Linked DNA regions of Tamandua tetradactyla. The protein of the gene in region 1 purifies or fractionates together with the protein of each later gene. This does not show direct contact. Links are inferred from orthologs where the notes say so. Each region holds a gene or a part of one and is shown on either strand. Other genes may lie near its edges.

Region 1 (7,866 bases):
CTCACCTGACGCCGTCCTCATCCCCAAGGGCCTCAGGTGCCCGCAGCTTGGAGTCCAGGTTGTAGTAAACGCCGTCCACCTGGCGCAGGGCCACCCAGTGCCGCCGGCGCAGCGGCAGGGACAGCAGCCCCAGCGACACGGGCGAGGGCAGGTTCAGAATCAGCCCCAGCACCCGGGGCAGTACCAGCTGGGACAGGGGCCTGGGGTGGGGTGGGGGCGGGAGGACACTGCCGTCAGGACCTCCTGAGCACGCGGGGTCCGGGCAGGGTTCTGAGCCTTACTCAACATGATCCTGGTTTCCTTCCACTCACCTGTGCACCCACCCGGCAAAGCCCCGCCCTCCAGCCACCTGTTCATCAATAACTTCACTACATCAGTCCAACTCCCCATCCACTCTTCCCCCAAACAGCATCCACCCGTCCACCATTCTGCTAGCCACCTGCCCAACAACTTATCCAACATCCACCCAACTCCTCACCCAGTCTTGACCCATCCACCTTTGATGCACCCACTGACCCATCCATTCAACCACTCGACCACCTATCTGCTGTTCCCTGACTACCAACCATCCATCCTTTATTTGGTCAACGACTTAACCACTCATCCACCATCTATTTAGCACCTTCCAACCACCCTTCACCATCCCACTTACTCATCCAGTTACCATCCGTCCACCCATCGATCTCCCCATCAACTCATCCCCCTGACCAAACTGCCACTGCATTCATCCTTCTAACCCACCTGCTGAGCCACCAGTCTACGGCCCACCCACCCATCCACCTCTGCGAACCTTCCACTCATCTACTCTCTGTTCCTGCCTCTGTCCCCTCATCTGCCATGCCCCTCCTCCCTGCTTCATCCCACATTCACGGAGCACAGCGCGTGCTGCCACTCTTCGGCTCCTACCTCCTCCGGTCCCACCACACAGCAGCCAGGCCCAGCCCTTGCAGGGCCGCCATGATCACGTTGACATCATAGTTGCCAGTGCCCAGGAGGCTGCGATGAGGGTTCAGGCGGGAGTCTGGGGCCAACCTGGTTGAGGGGTGGTAAGAGCCTGGGTTGGGGGCCCCTGGGAAGGCCTCACCCTCCCTACAAAGTCCTCAGGAGACTATCTCTCTCTCAGGAGATAGTCTTGACCCCCTTAGCCTGGACTTCAAGGCCCTGCCTGGTCTGGTCCCTCGAGCCTGTGTACCTGCAGCCCCACCCTATCCTTAGCCACCGGTTCCCCAAACACATCTCCTGGGCTCTTGCCCCCCAGCCTTTCCTCCAGCTGTTCCCCTAGCCCTGGAGGCCCATCCTGTTACCACTTGTTCTCTGAGCTCGGCTGCCTGTGAAAAACTGCACCTCTGATCTCTATCTGGGTTGTGGATTATTTTGCTGGGATCTTTTTCACTCGCTAGACTGCAGGCTTCCCCAGGGCAGAGCTTGTATCGGACTCATCTCTGGCTTGAAAGAGTTGACTGATTCCTGCTCTTGAATGATGGATATGAACAAATTATAGAATAACCAGTTTGAAGGACTAGGACTCTGAGGATGCTGGGGAGCCAAGGCTGGGCGGTGAGCAGCAGAGAGGATGGCATCAGCTCAGGGGCCAAGTGGGGGACAGGCTGGAGGGGAGAGACTGGAGACTGGAGTGAGGGCCCAGTCAGGCAAGGACGGGACCTGAACTGGGGCTGGGGCTGGGGGGACAGAACAGAGAAGATGGTGCAGAGAGTAATAAAGAAGCAATGTTCAAAATCTTGAACAGTGAGAAGAATGTGCAAGGCTGACAAGAGGAGGCCATTCTGGGCAGAAAGAATGGTATGTGCAAAGAACTAGAGATCTTACAGTGGGGCTCAATCAGCAAGACAGAAGTCTGGATGGACAGAAGCAGTGAGAGAGGAAGCTGCAGGGGCGGATGGGGCCCTGGATATCAGGCTGAAGGGCTGGGAACTTCCCCTAGGGGTGCTGGGGAGCTACTGGAGGACAGTGAGCAGGGGAGGGGCAGGGTGGTTCCCAGCTTCAGATGGGAAGTACTGGAGGGGAGAGATTAGAGGCTGGGAGGCCAGAAAACAGAAGGGATTAGAGTCTAGGTGAAGGAGAGTGAAGCCTGAGCAAGGGCTGAGGCCATGGGGATGGAGAAGTACAGGAGGCAATATCTCCACCTCTGAGTCCCAGGGTTCAGCCCAAACCGGGTTGAGTGGGGCCTCCCAGGGCTCAGCCTCCCCTCGCTTTGAGAGCCGGGGTGGGGTGGGGAGAGGGGTGGGGTCATGGAGCCCTCTGAGCCCCGCTTCTCCAGGCACCCAAATCAGGGTGGGTGGCGGCCACCTCTTGCAGATCTCATCGGCAGCCTCCTGGCTAAAGAGCTGCTGCTGCAGGACGTTGTTGAGGGCGTGGACAGCACACAGCTCCAGGCGTTGCCGTTCGTGGTACACGGAGGGCGGGCTCGGCCGGGCTCCTGGGGCCTGGGACATGCCGCCCTCGGCTCCTGCTGGGGGTGGGGGTAGAGGCTACTCAGGGGCTGGGGGCTGGAGGCCCAGGGGCTGAGGCCTTACCTCCCAGCAGGCCCTCGGGACACTGTCATTAAGGTAGAGGCTCAGGGCAGCCTAGGAGGACCCTGCTCCCTGGGCTGTGTCCTGGCAACAGAGGCACCCCCATCCCTTGTCCCTAAGATAAGGGCTTTCTTCAGCCCCCCAGCAACAGAGGACCACCCTCACCACATCCATAAGTAAAAGGCTCCCTGGTTGGTCGCCCAGCAACAGAAGAACCCCATCCCGTGTCTCTAGGTAACAGGATCCCTCTCTGGTTACCTAGCAACGGAGGACCACCCCCCCCAACTAGGTAACAAGTCTCTCTGGTTACCTAGTAATGGAATCCTCCTTCCCTGTCTCTAAGTCACAGGGTCTTTTTTGGTCGCCTAGCAACAGAAGACTCCCCCTCCCCTGAACAAAGAGCTTCTCTTCTCCTGTCACTGGGCGACAGGGTCCCCTCCCCAGCCCCTAAGCAACAAGGTCCTCTTCTCCTATCACCAAAAAACTAGGCCCTTTTCCCGAAAACCAAGTGATAGAGCCACTTCCCCGACCCGTACCCCAACCGCGGCGCTCGCTCGCTGCCTGGCAATGCCCCTCACCCCGCCTGCCGTTCCGATCCCCCGAGCCAGGGGCTCCAGCATCACCCTGGGCCGCGGCTCTGAGCTTCGAGTGCGGGGCGGGTAGCTCGGCGCTGACTGGGCGAGCGGGACGGACTACAGATCCCGGCGGCCCCCGCGTGCCGGACTACGACTCCCAGCGGCCGCGGCGGAGCCACCTGGTCGGGAAGTCCACTGTCGCCTCCAGTGAATACGGGACTACAACTCCCGTCGGCCCTGCGGGGAATCCCGGAAACGCACCTCCCAGAGTCCCTTCCCCGCTCACAACCAGCGCAAGACTACGTCCCCCGCTTCTCAGAGGTTTCTGGGAGACGTAGTGCGTAAGGCTCTGGCGATAGCTTCCATGAGTTTTACACCGCCTCCCGCGATGGCGTCATGCAGTGCGCAGTCGCAGCGTGACGTCACAGGAAGGGATCGAGACCACCGACATCAAAACCATGCGGGGAGGGGGGCCTGGGAGCTTTACTGCGACAGAGGGAGGTGTGGGGGAACAGAGACCAGCACGGGAGTGGGAAGGTGGTGGTGGGAGGGAAATGACACGAGGAAGTCCCGGGTTCGTGGAGGCTTCTCAGCAGAGATGGATCCCGGGCCTGGAGGGGAACTGGCAGCAGCCTGCAGAGGAGAGATGGGAATTAAAGACTGAGGCAGAAGGAGAGACGGACAGCTGGAGTCGGGTGGGGGCCACCCAGAGAGAAAGGATTGAGAACCGGGGTGGGGGAGGAGGGCGGACAGAAACCCCTAGAGAGAGAAATCAAAGTTGGGGGTGGGTGGGAAGGGGGAAGAAACCCATAGAGGGACAGAGACCCAGAATATAGAGAGAGGGAGATAGAGGCCCAGAATGAGGGACAGAGATCCATAGAGAGGGAGACAGAGACCCAGAGGGGACAGAGACCTGGTGAGTGGACAAGATACACAGAGAGAGAGAGAGAGGGAGAGCGTCCCAGATTGGAGGGGGTGAGCAGAGATTCGGGGGAGGGACACAGCAGGCATAGATACATACAAAGATTCAGTGATGTGGAGGGGGGGCAGTTAAGGATACTGAGAAATAAAGACTTTCCACAGAGATAGAATTGCAGAACTGGACAGAGCCCAAGACCCTAAGCTCTGTAGAGGACAGGTTCCTAGAGAAGGGGCCATTGGCTCTAGGGAGGGACCTGGCCGCACCCAGAAGGCTGCGCCAGAAGGCGGTGACAGTGGCAGAGCCGGTGACTGCTCCAGGCTCAGCAGGGTTCTCTCTGCGGGTGTGCACGGTAAAGCTGCGCCCTGTGGGGCCCGGGGGACCCTTTAGCTCCACTTCCACCACGTGCATGTCTGTCAGGCTGGGGCAAACAGGGAGGTCAGTTTGGCCCGCCTGGCCCTTGCACCCCCTGCTCAGCTCGGCTCACCTGAGATCGGCCACAAGCACCCCGATTACACGGTCGAAGCCCAGGCTGGGGGCGGCCAGGGCAGCGGCCGCCATGGTGTTGGAGTTTCGGGGGGCCAAGGGGCACAGCCCACGGACGGGGCCTTCATAGAGCACTGTGCGAGAGCCAGGCCTTTGGGCTGCAGCCAGAGGTCCCTCAAGCCGGAAGCTGTCAGGGTGCGTGGCCATGATGACCCTGAGGCTCTGGAAGCAACAGCCAGGGTCAAGGCAGGGCCTGGGGGTCTGCAGACCCCCTCCAGTTTCTGGGAGCCCAGTGGGCCTCACCTGAAGGCCCCCAGCCGCATCCAATCTGGTGATGTCCTCAGTGCCCCACAGGGCCCCCCGAGCCACGAACACAGCATGGTCCCAGTGGTGGGAGGCCTCCAGGAGCTGCTGCTCCGTGTTCTGGTCAGCCAGGGCTGAGGGGGACCCTACCTAGGGCCGGTGAAGGAGGGGTGGGGTTGAGGCCCAGGCTTTAGGGAGGTAGGTGGGAAGGGGGGAGGGGCAGGGGCCTGAGGTTGTGGTTTGGGTGAGGCTCACCAGGAGATTGGCATGACGTAGGATTTGTGCCCCAGAATCCTGGATGATTTTGGGGTGTGCCACTTCTACCACGAGATTGGGGTGCCTGGGGGAGGGGAGAGACGAGGAGGGCCTTGGAGAGGAGTTGGGTCTCCCCACCTCCAGATTCCTTCATAGTCTACAGAGGTCGGCCCCTCACCCTGGCCTGGCAGGGGAAATGGGGAAGCTGGGCTTGTCACATTTTATGTTTGTGTGACCCAAAGACCAGAGAGGGCAAGGGACTCGCCTGAGTTCACACAGACGCCATGTGAGATCAGAAGGGAAGCTTCAGAGAGTCCCCCTTTGCCACCAGGAGATCACTGACCTCTCCCCAAGGTCAGCGAGATTCCGGAGCTGCAGCGAGGGGGGCACAGTCCCTGCCATTCGTCCTGGGTCCCGGTTCCAGACAAAAACAAGTTCTAGGCCCAGTTCTGGCCCCTGAGCCAGCAGGTGAGAGACAAGTGATTGTCCTGGAAAGAGGGAAAGGAGAACGGTAGAGTTGGGGGTGGGGTGGGGACAGAGACCCAGAGGGAGGGGGACGAAGACTCAGATGGGGATCCAGAGGTCTAGAGAGCGCAGGACAGAGACCCAGAGGGGGATGTGGGAGGGAGGTGCTCAGACAGGCAGATAAAGGCCACAGATGAAAGAAAGTGTGTCCGACGGGGATGGGGCTCTGGTGCTTTAGGAAGGAGGTCCCAGAATGAAGGACTCACCCAGGCGGCCGTAGCCCACCACCCCCACCCTCCGTGGGGCGCCGTCGAGAGCCATGCCTTTGGATGGGGGGTTGGTGGTCCGTGCTCCCGCAGCTGCTTGCTAACCCCCTCAGAGGCCTGGGCAGCCACTGATCTTTGGACATTTGACCCTTGAGCCTTCCCAGGCAGCAGCGCAGAGGTGGCATCGGGGTGAGAATCCTCCCCTGCATTCCCGAGGGCATTGGACACAGTGATTTGGGACTCCAGGGCTCCCACTTTATCCTGGCCGTTCTTTGCTTCACTCCATACCCTCCTCCCTTCCTGCTGATGTGGAAAATTTCCTCTGCAGTCCCCCGCCCTCCTTTTGGGCCAGCCAGGTTGTCATGGAAACTGCATCCTGCTTGGGGTGGGAGTCGAGAGGATCGGGAGGGAGGAGAGGAGACAGTGGCAAGGGACTGTGGGCTCTGTCCTGGCGCATGTGGGTGTCCTCCCAACACCCCTCCCATTTCTCCCCGCTTGGTTCTCTCCAGGTCTCCATCTCTGACCTCCCTTCCTCTGTCTCTCTTCTCTCTCTAGTTCTGTTGCCTTCAGCTTCTCCCTGAGTTTCCATCTCCCCCATCCCCTCCTCCCACTGCCTCTTGGCGTGGCCTGCAAGTCCGTGCCCCCCATCCCTGCATCCCTGTCCTAAGCCAAACCCCACACCCCCAGCTGCACTCCACCCCGGGTTGCCAAACTATGCAGGAGGCCTGGCCTGGCCCTTGTCCCAGTCCCTCCCAGAAGAAACAGGAGCTTGCGATCCCTTGCCTCTGTGGGCCCAGTCTCCCAGGGCACCCCCCGCCCCCGGCACCCACACCTCCTCCCCAGAGCCTCTCTCCCATCAGTCCCGCCATCCTTCAGTTCACCTTCACTTTACACCTGTCACTCTCCTCTCCCCCAGTTGCGAGGCCACAGGTTCCTCTGGATTGTATTCTCAGCCCCATTTCCTTCCCACCCGGCCCTCTCCCGCCTCCCGCCTCCCATGGCCCAAGAAGGCTCGGTGGCCTGGGGAGACCCCACGTGCCCTTAGAACGAGCCCCAGCCTGCGCCTCCGGGCGCCTGGCATCGGAAATGGCGGAGGCTGCGGCAGCGCGGCTCCCCTGCCCCCCCCCACCACCTGGTACCCGCTGCAGCGTTGCTATGGCAACCAGGATCCGCGCTGAAAGAGAACCGCGAGAAAGGGCATGAAAGAAAGAAAGAGAGAGGGGGAGCCGAGCGCGGGCATGGAGGGTCCTGAGCGGACAGGCGGCGAGAGCAGACAGGCACACCTCAGGGCACTTCCCTGCAGGGGCGCACAGGGTGGCTGGCTTCAAGAGCCCTGGGGGGGGGGATGAGATGCTGGGGGTGGGGGGCTGGTGGGACCATCCCACCTGGCGCCCTTGGGATGTCATCGCCTTGACCACGGCCTGGGTGCCCCCGATGTTGGGCCGGGACTGTTGCGCAGGGCGGGACAGGCTGTGCCACGGCGAGGGGAGAACATGGGCGGCACCCACCGCCGCCCTAGTCAGGGCCTGACTCTCCTTGGATGGGGGTCTCCCCACCAGCGTCCCCCCACAGGAGGGTGCCGAAGGCCCAGTGCTGGTGCTGGTCACGCCCTTGCTTCTGTCGGGGCCGTACCCAATGGCAGCCTGCTGGGCCCCTCTTTGAGGCTGCACCATGGCCACCTTGGGGTCCCTGGAGACCCCACACCCCACCCCAACAGCTGCCTGTTTCAGCTGAGTCCACTCTTGACTCGTCCTCGCCAGCTCCAGGCCTTCCGAGGGCCTGTCCCTGTCCCTTTCCCCCCAGGCCATGGCCCTTGCCTGCATTAGAAACGAGGCAGAGGTGCCCCGTGCTCCCAGTGCCGCAGCCGGCCACTCTCCCCAGGCGCCCCCTTCCTCCTTACGCGGTGTGGGCGGCGGGGGCCAGAGGGCGGTCCAGACCAGGGCTGGGAACAGTGGAGGGGCCTGGGACCACCCGGCAAGGCCTCGTCCCCTGAGCCCCTGTGGACCTTTTCGTTTCCCGTTCTGTCCTTCTGCTCTCCACCCTGCGTCCACTTCGTTCTCTCTCTC
Region 2 (7,765 bases), on another chromosome or scaffold:
CAGGAAAAGCTGTCTTTCCGAGGAACTAGTATGTATTATTTCCCATGCCTGCTAATGAGATTATAGCCCTGTGATTCCCTTTTGTGCTCTGGTAGCTAGGAAGCTTAGAGTAGCATACAATGATCAGGCTCATCAACAACTTTAGCCCTCAGGGTTAAAATATTTCTTTCCTTCTTATTATATTTTTGACTTTCCTTCCTATTTATATTGTCTATACCTTCTGTACTCTAAGCCATCTCAGATGCTCTTAAAAACAGGAAAATATACCAGATATAAACAGACTTTTTTTTAAAGGCACACTTGCTATTTAGCTCCCAACATGTTCCTATCTCTACCTATTTCAAATAACAACTTATTTGTCAGATAAGGAAACTGCGGCACAGAAACTAATTTACTTAGGAACCTACTTAGTTGGCTTCTTGACAGCTAGATGGATCCTTGAATCAAACCAACAAGCCCTGTTACCTCAACAGCACTGTACTAGACCCCAGGGGCATATAAAACTGAGCAAATCATGATTATAGCAAAAGAATCCAGCTATCAATGCTTTTAATTGCAGGATATTCACTCTACCTAAATGAAGGCAGACAAGGTGAATTAACAAGAAAGCTCCTCTGAGATATGACCTGATTAAGGACCATCAAGGTCACCCTCAAGTAACCTGTACCCTCTCACTGGCCCCAGCAATGACCTCATTTCCTGAATGGCCTCAGGGTCTGGAATTATTCAAGAATTACTTGGTCTAAAGTCAAACTGCAATCCTCACAGGTGAGAGGCCCTTTTCTCATACCATTCAGTACCTGGCCAGGTTACTTTTTTTCCTTTTATTTTTCCCATGCTTTCTCACATCATCAACACACAGCAGAAGTAGACAAGTTACCTGAATCATAATGTCCAACTCAGCTGAAATTCTGAAAAACAAATTACCAAGGACTTGCTATGTGACCTTGAACTAGTACTCAACTGACCCATTAACTAAATAAATGGATTTCATCATCACCAGAGAAAGAGTAATTAGTCATTATAAAGCACTTTACTACAAAGTGCTGTGTAAATGCTAAACAATAAAGCTCAGAAAAAGTAAAACTAAAAACACAGGGGCACATTTACCAGCAAATGGTAACTCACAGCAGGGTCTTATCACATCCCCGGCAGAGACTGCTTCTTTCAACTAACGGAATACGAGTCTCTAATCATTAGCACTTGGCCTGACAAAAATACACATTAGTAATATTCCTCCTGGGAAGAGAGGAGGAATAGACAACCCTACTGACATCTCAGTTAATAGTTAGCCAAGCGGGCAATTAATAATTGAGTACTTCCTATAAGCTAGATACAGTACTGAGCACAATGGATTCAATGGTGAATGAGAGTCCTTGTCTTTATGAAAGTTTACAATCCATAATGCAAACTTTGTCTTATCAACAGTGGCACTGACAAGTAAGAATAAAGGTTTACTAAAAAAGGTAAGAATAAAGACACCCCAAACCCTGAAATGACTAGAAAATGGGGGGTGTGTGGGGGGGAAGAGTTCAGGGAATTAAGCATTTTCTCATTTTCCCCCTAACTCACCTAAGGTACTACTCACAAGAATTTTGCTTGAAAGAGCTGTGACTGTTTCTTCAAAGAACAGTGCAGAATACAAATACAGCCCCAACAAAGTAATCTGCTGAACTGAGAGCTCTAAAAATAAGGTTAATTACTCCTTAAAGTCAAGGGATCTTCAATATTTTAAAGACATTCTGTTGTTAAGATTTCAAGTTTTAGAGAAAACAAAGATAAAGTGCACTATGGTGACTTGTCTTTTCAATTTTGCATTTGCTTTCTGGAGTAGTAGATTAAATTTCTTTCTTTTTTTTTAAAGCCATGTTTCCAACTCAAGGTAGTTTAACTAGTTCAGGTGTAGGAGCCTTAAGAACTGTAACTATTCCTGCAAAACTTGAGCACTGCTTTCTATCAAACACTGCAGGCAGAGATAGCCTTGAAACACTCTCTTTATACTAGACTGAAATATTTATCCGGGTTCTCACTGGCTTCAGAAAGGTCACCTCTTTGCAAAGGTTCTCTGATCGACTGTTAACCAGGTGATGGGCATGAGTAAAGTCAAGATGAAGTTGTCAGCAAATGATCAGAAAGCTCTGGGGATCCCAATTCTATCATTCAAAGCGCTATTTAGACTACAACCTCCAAACGTTCCCATGTAGTCTTCCACAACAATAGAATAAGAGTGTCCTTTGAGCTCAACCCACGGTACAATAGACTAAACTTGTTCTGCCTTAATAAGTGCAGTAAAGAATGAGCAATCCTTCCCTACCACCCACCCCTCCAACCCACCCAAGCTCCTTTTTCAAGGGATGCCTAAGTGGTCTATTCACATGACTCCTGGATCAACCTGCATCCATGACAGTGTCTGCTGTCACTAACCTCCAAATGCTAATTTCTTACAGCTGTTGAAGCAACTGGAAGACCGCCGAAGGTGAAAATTAGAGTTTTCTTTTCAATCTCACACCGCCCTCATTGCCTTTATCTGCATAAAAAGAGCTGGGTCCACGCATTCTTTTCTCTTGTTATCACGCAGTTGCTGGATAAATCGGACCCTGATCCCTAAGATTCACCCAAAGAAGTGCTGCCAGATTTACACACTCACCTGAAGGGGGATTTTCTGCACCCCCCTCAACCCCCTCCCTCGGCCTGGTCAGAAGGGCCAGCTGAATTGATTCACTCCCTCCCACACCTGTCTTCGAGGCCTTTCGTCCTGGAAAAGTCAGCCGCAAATTTAAGACCCGGTCCTGTCGGGTCTCAAAAAGATCTCGGAGGACTACGGCCGAGGAACAAAGGAAAACGAAGTCAGGGGCGGCCTTTCCAGCCCGGGATGGGCCTGGGGCCGCTCACCGCTACCTCCCACACAACCTCAGCTGTCCGCGATCACCCGGAACCCTCTCCCCTAAAGTCCCGAACTAGCCGGAGCCCGGGCTGGCACTCGCTCGCGCCCCTTCCGCGAGGCCCAGGTCCCCGCTTGCACCCAGAGCCCCCGCACCTTCTTGGGCGCCTTGGTGACGGTGGCCATGAAGGAGTACTTCTCGGCGTCCTCGATCTCCTTGGCCTGCTTCAGCTCCTCCCCGACTCCGGGCAGCGGCATCGCGTCAGGCATCGACATCCCCCGGCCGGCCCGGCCCGTGGCTGACCCACCGCCCCCGCCTCCTTCCTCCGCGGGCGCCCGCCCGCCCGGCCGCCCGCACTGCGCCCTCCGACACGCGCTCGCCCACCCTCCCACCCGGTCCCACGCCGGGCTGCGTTCGGTTCTGAGGTGCTTTGGCCAGCGCCTCGTCCGCCGGGCAGTCTAACAGAGCGCGACAGCGACGGCGGCAGAAGGAACACCACAAGCAGCCGCGCGAAGCTCCGATCGGCCCGCGCCGCCACCTCCGACACACGCAGACACGCACGCAAAGTAAGGGCAGAGGGCGGTGACGCCACGACAAGTACTGGCAGCTCCGGGGAGGGGGAAGAGGCGGGGAGAAAGGGCGCGCTGTCGTGACGTCATCACGCTGGATTTGGATGCCGAAGCCTTCCCTCCTCGGTGGGGCTCTTAGGTGTACCAGGGTGAGCAGGACCCTTTGCGCCGCCAGATGGCGCCATCAGCCCTGCGAGCGACGTGTAATTCTTGCAAGGGTGACGTGGGGTGGAGGGTCTCTGGGCTGCAGGATTCCGGGCGACGTCTCTGAGAGGAGTAGGAGGGATACCTAGCAGAAAAGGCATGAACCCCAAAAGACACATTCTACGGCCATTCCTAGGAATAATCTGGGGCGCGGGACAGCCTACTCTGCCCAGTTTCTTTTGGACCAGAATTACCCTCTCCAAGGGCGGTGATGGCTCCTTCCATCACCCCATAGGGATTGGTCATAAGAAACTTTGGACAGTCTGATTTGTGTACTGTCCTTTCTGACCTCTTCCACCATTGTCCGCCTGGGTCTTACCTGTTTACGCGATCTCCAGGCCACAGAGGTGATTTCGCTGAAGTGGCCATTAGAATATCAGCTGATGGGTCCGCAGAGGGTCCCTGGCCTGAATGTTTTCCTCCTCGGTGTTCACCAAGCATTAGGCTCTGCTAGCTCTCGGTGGGCGCCCAGGGCACACGTGTGCCATTTGCACATTTTTACTGGGCCTTATCCTGTGCCAAGGCCCTGGAATGCAAAGATGAGTGTGACATTTTATGTTTTGCAAGGCTCAGTCTAGAGGGATAGACAGAGCCTGAATGGATCTGACATGTCAGCTAAGGTAGCTTGTCCTTTGAGATTCAAACTACATTGGCTACTGTGGAAAGTCCAATGTCCTCCCTGAAATTTTTGTGAATTACTGGGGGAACTTACATTTTCATGGTCAAGTCTGGCTCCAGTTTTCTGTCTTCTCTGAAGTTTTATTCATTATCCTGATCATGTGACTGCTTCTTTGACTCTTGCTGTCAATTCAGATATAGAACACAGCTTTTGTTCCTTTCAACCCCCACCCCTATCCCAAAGCAGACACAAAAATAAAGTTGTAACATGTAACAGAATTTTTAGCAAAGGTTTGTGGGTCACAGGGGAGAGGTTACATCACACAGTCAACAATTTAAAATCACATTTCTGAAATGTCCTGAGAAGTTATTTTGGCTATTTTGACACCCGGGATTTCTCACTGGCCACACTATTCTGCAAAGTTCCGTAGCCATTGCCATCTAATTTAACTCCCTCCTGTTTACTCCCCCCCATCCCTCTATCTCACCCTTTCTTTTCTGATTGACTCTGGGAAACCCGATTTTTCTCAACTATGCTGAGCAATGTGAGTCTTCTGGTGCCTTTCCCCTAAATTCCTCTCTGAATCCACCTTTTTATTTCCAGAAACCCACCGAGCCTTTAACAGGATCAATAATTCCAAGAAAGAAGTTATGGTTTGAAATAACATTTTTTCCACTGGTGTGTGCAATACTCTCCACTGGGTGCCCTGAAGTCTTAGTCGGAGAAGCCCACATTCTAACCATCCAGCTTGATGAGGCTCTTTGTTTGAAGTGGGCTGTGGAAGTGCCTAGAAGAAGGCAGACTTCTGCAGATCCCGGTTTTGAGCTTTTAGATAGATTCTCTTACATGCTTCTCTCATTGGCCCAGCCTTCAGAGCACCCAGACACCCCTTTCAGGGGCATTTTTCTAGCAGAAGGGCTTAGAGACAGAGGACCAGAATGTCAGATTCATCCATAAGCATGCCAGACTGTCATTTTTCTCCTCATCTCCCAGGTAGAGCCAAGAATCACACCAGCCTCACCCACAACTCTTTAAGGCCCGCAGTAGCTTTCAAGCTGTGGATTTGCCTGAATTGTTATCAGAGCCCAGGGATCAGAGATGCCCGCTTAAAGAACAGAGGCAGAGCCAGTTAGAACCAGGGATGAAAATTCCAAGTCCCTCGAATAGAAAGACACGCAACTTAGGATAGCTTATTCAAATTAAATTATTAAATTAAAAAGCATAGATGTGTCTATCTTTTGGATTTGATTTTGAAAACTTCCATTATCCAAAAGCTTCATCTTTCAGTTCCCCAGTTCAGCTATGCATCATGGCAGTCAGGTGGTGAGATTCAACCTTTCTTTGCCTCCTCCTAGACCAAAGTAACAGGCTTCCCCTCACACCGGTCTCCCAGCGTTGTCTGCACCACTGCTGCCGCTGAGGAGGGTGGAGCCTTGGGCCAGGACCAGAGGAGGCCATGCCTGAGCAGCTGGGGCCAAGAAGCTAGCAGCATGTCATTCTCCACTCACCTGAGACTGGGCCCGAGGAGAGGCTTGGTGGGTGAGGCTGATCTAAGGGAGCTGGGGGTACTTAGGCTGAAAGGCGGGAGGGGCAGCCCTCCCTGCCCTGGTGGAAGGGTAGCAGGCCTGTACGGTTCATGGCAGGCCAGGACCCAGAGGCGTTCTTGGCAACCTACCTGTTGCTGAGGACATGGGTGGCTGCCTGTCCTCCCCTCCCCACTCCCCATGTGTGGGCCAGAGATCAAAGAGCCCACCCAGCCGAGGAGTGCAGCGACATCACATTGATGAAGGCCATAGCGTGCTACCCCCACCACTCCGAAAATGGTTCCACGCAGCCCAGCTAAGGGGGGGGTCGCCTCACATGGATGTCAAGGAATGAGTGGTCTTCTGTCCATCTGCCCACCTCACTCAGAGTCTCTGCAAGCAGGCCCACCCTTCTGAACAGCTCAGTCCCACTCAGCTGATAGAGCTGTCCAGGGGCCAGAAAAGCAGAGACCCAAGGACAGGTACACCTGGTGTGTGTGGTGTGGTGAGGAAGTCTCCAAAGGGCCTGGACACCAAAGGGGACCCTGTTCTGGACAGGGGTGGGAGGAGGGGGTGGGAGATGCTGCCACCAGAAATGTAGTGGCCCTGCGGCCCCGCAGGTGAGCTTGGTATATGTGATCCATTTCACTCTTCTGTCCTCCTTCGCATTTACCCTCCACATTCACTTATTTGTTCGTTTATTCGTAAAATATATATTGACTGCTGAAGATGTTTCAGGAGCAGCACTCAATGTTGGGACTTAACAGAGAAAAATGCGACGAAGGCTTGATCTCTACCTGGAGTTGGGAGGGGGACTTCATAGAGGGAGATGCTGTCTGAGCTGACGCTTGAAAGCTAAGCAGCTGGACAAGGTAGGGGGGATTGCCAGGGTGAACGATCAGCAGGAGAAAAGGCAGGGCTATTGAAACGTCTTGCCATGATCTGGGAACTTGGTATGTGTTTCAGTGCAGGTGGGGCCCAGAGTGCAAAGTGGGGCAGAGGGAGCGATGAAGCCGAGGTCAGCTCACACAGGGCCCGGTGAGCTGTGGGTGCACGGGGGTGCCGTCCGCTGTGTTTGGAGGAGAAGCAGATCTGGGCGAAGGGACCACTGCGATAAGGAGCCAGCTTGAGTGGAGTTTGATACCTCTGCGGGGGCTGGGGGTGGGGGCACCGTCTCGGAGTCCCAGGGAGCCCAGGTTTTTGCCTTTCACAGCCGTCTGCTCCCTGCCAGCCTGACACCCTACCAGAGAGGGGCTTCGCTCTCCTGTGGGCCCTTCCCCTCCTCCAGGCCAGGCCCTCGTCAGCTACCAGATGAACAGTGCGGACACACTGCAGGAGGTCGTGGGTGACCGCGGCAGCATGGACACGGGCGAATGGCCCCACAGCGCTGCCTCCAGAACTCTGGGGTGGGCGTGTCCCCCTCTACATCCCAGGCTTCTCTCTGCCCCACCACTGCCAAGTTGCACAAATCTGGGAGGCATCACTGACATTGTCATCAACGTGAGGCGTGCCCCTGGAACGCAACTCCAAATTGGTAATCTGCCCCTCTGGCTCGAAGGAAAGCCCTGGGGAGGGCTGCCAGGCCCAGCTCTGGGCACTCACTCCCCAGACAGGCTGGATTCCTCCTTGCCACTGAGCTCCTTCCCCTCCCTTCTCTGTTGTTCCAGCCCTTGGGAGAAAATGGGCAGTCCCCTGAGACTGGGAAAGACTCTGTCTCCTCCTCTGCTTGTTTTTAATCACATTATTGTAATTATTTTGAATTTCCTTCTATTCGAAAGAAACCTTGTAAAGATAAAAGTCTCTTTATGTCTTTCTAAATTCACTCCTTATTCTTATCGATTTGTAAGAGCTCATTTTTACATACCTGTGATCACTGTGCACGGGTCATTTTGTGTTTTGCCCAATTTACTACATATTTCGAAAACACATCACCACAGCCAGAGATTGTTCACACACTTGCCATTGTCA

The links.
Region 2: the proteins of JOSD2 (region 1) and AHCYL1 purify together in Homo sapiens (affinity purification with mass spectrometry; 4 studies listed by BioGRID and IntAct, counting the BioPlex papers as one, with this or other methods). This does not show direct contact. The link is inferred for Tamandua tetradactyla from reciprocal best matches to the Homo sapiens genes JOSD2 and AHCYL1.

The regions. Positions count from the first base shown.
Region 1 is NC_135342.1:10,717,797-10,725,662, reverse strand, and holds the start of JOSD2 (josephin-2), read right to left. Parts: upstream 3,243-7,866; 5' UTR 3,110-3,242; exon of another isoform or gene 3,068-3,109; intron 2,982-3,067; exon of another isoform or gene 2,697-2,981; intron 2,471-2,696; 5' UTR 2,454-2,470; coding exon 2,308-2,453; intron 1,033-2,307; coding exon 907-1,032; intron 201-906; coding exon 6-200; intron 1-5. Other genes in the region: ASPDH (aspartate dehydrogenase domain-containing protein), read right to left, coding at 3,529-3,739, 4,513-4,733, 4,815-4,964, 5,070-5,154, 5,413-5,557, 5,801-5,855. UniProt on the Homo sapiens protein: Cleaves 'Lys-63'-linked poly-ubiquitin chains, and with lesser efficiency 'Lys-48'-linked poly-ubiquitin chains (in vitro). May act as a deubiquitinating enzyme.
Region 2 is NC_135337.1:12,940,253-12,948,017, forward strand, and holds the start of AHCYL1 (S-adenosylhomocysteine hydrolase-like protein 1), read right to left. Parts: upstream 3,203-7,765; 5' UTR 3,158-3,202; coding exon 3,038-3,157; intron 1-3,037. UniProt on the Homo sapiens protein: Multifaceted cellular regulator which coordinates several essential cellular functions including regulation of epithelial HCO3(-) and fluid secretion, mRNA processing and DNA replication.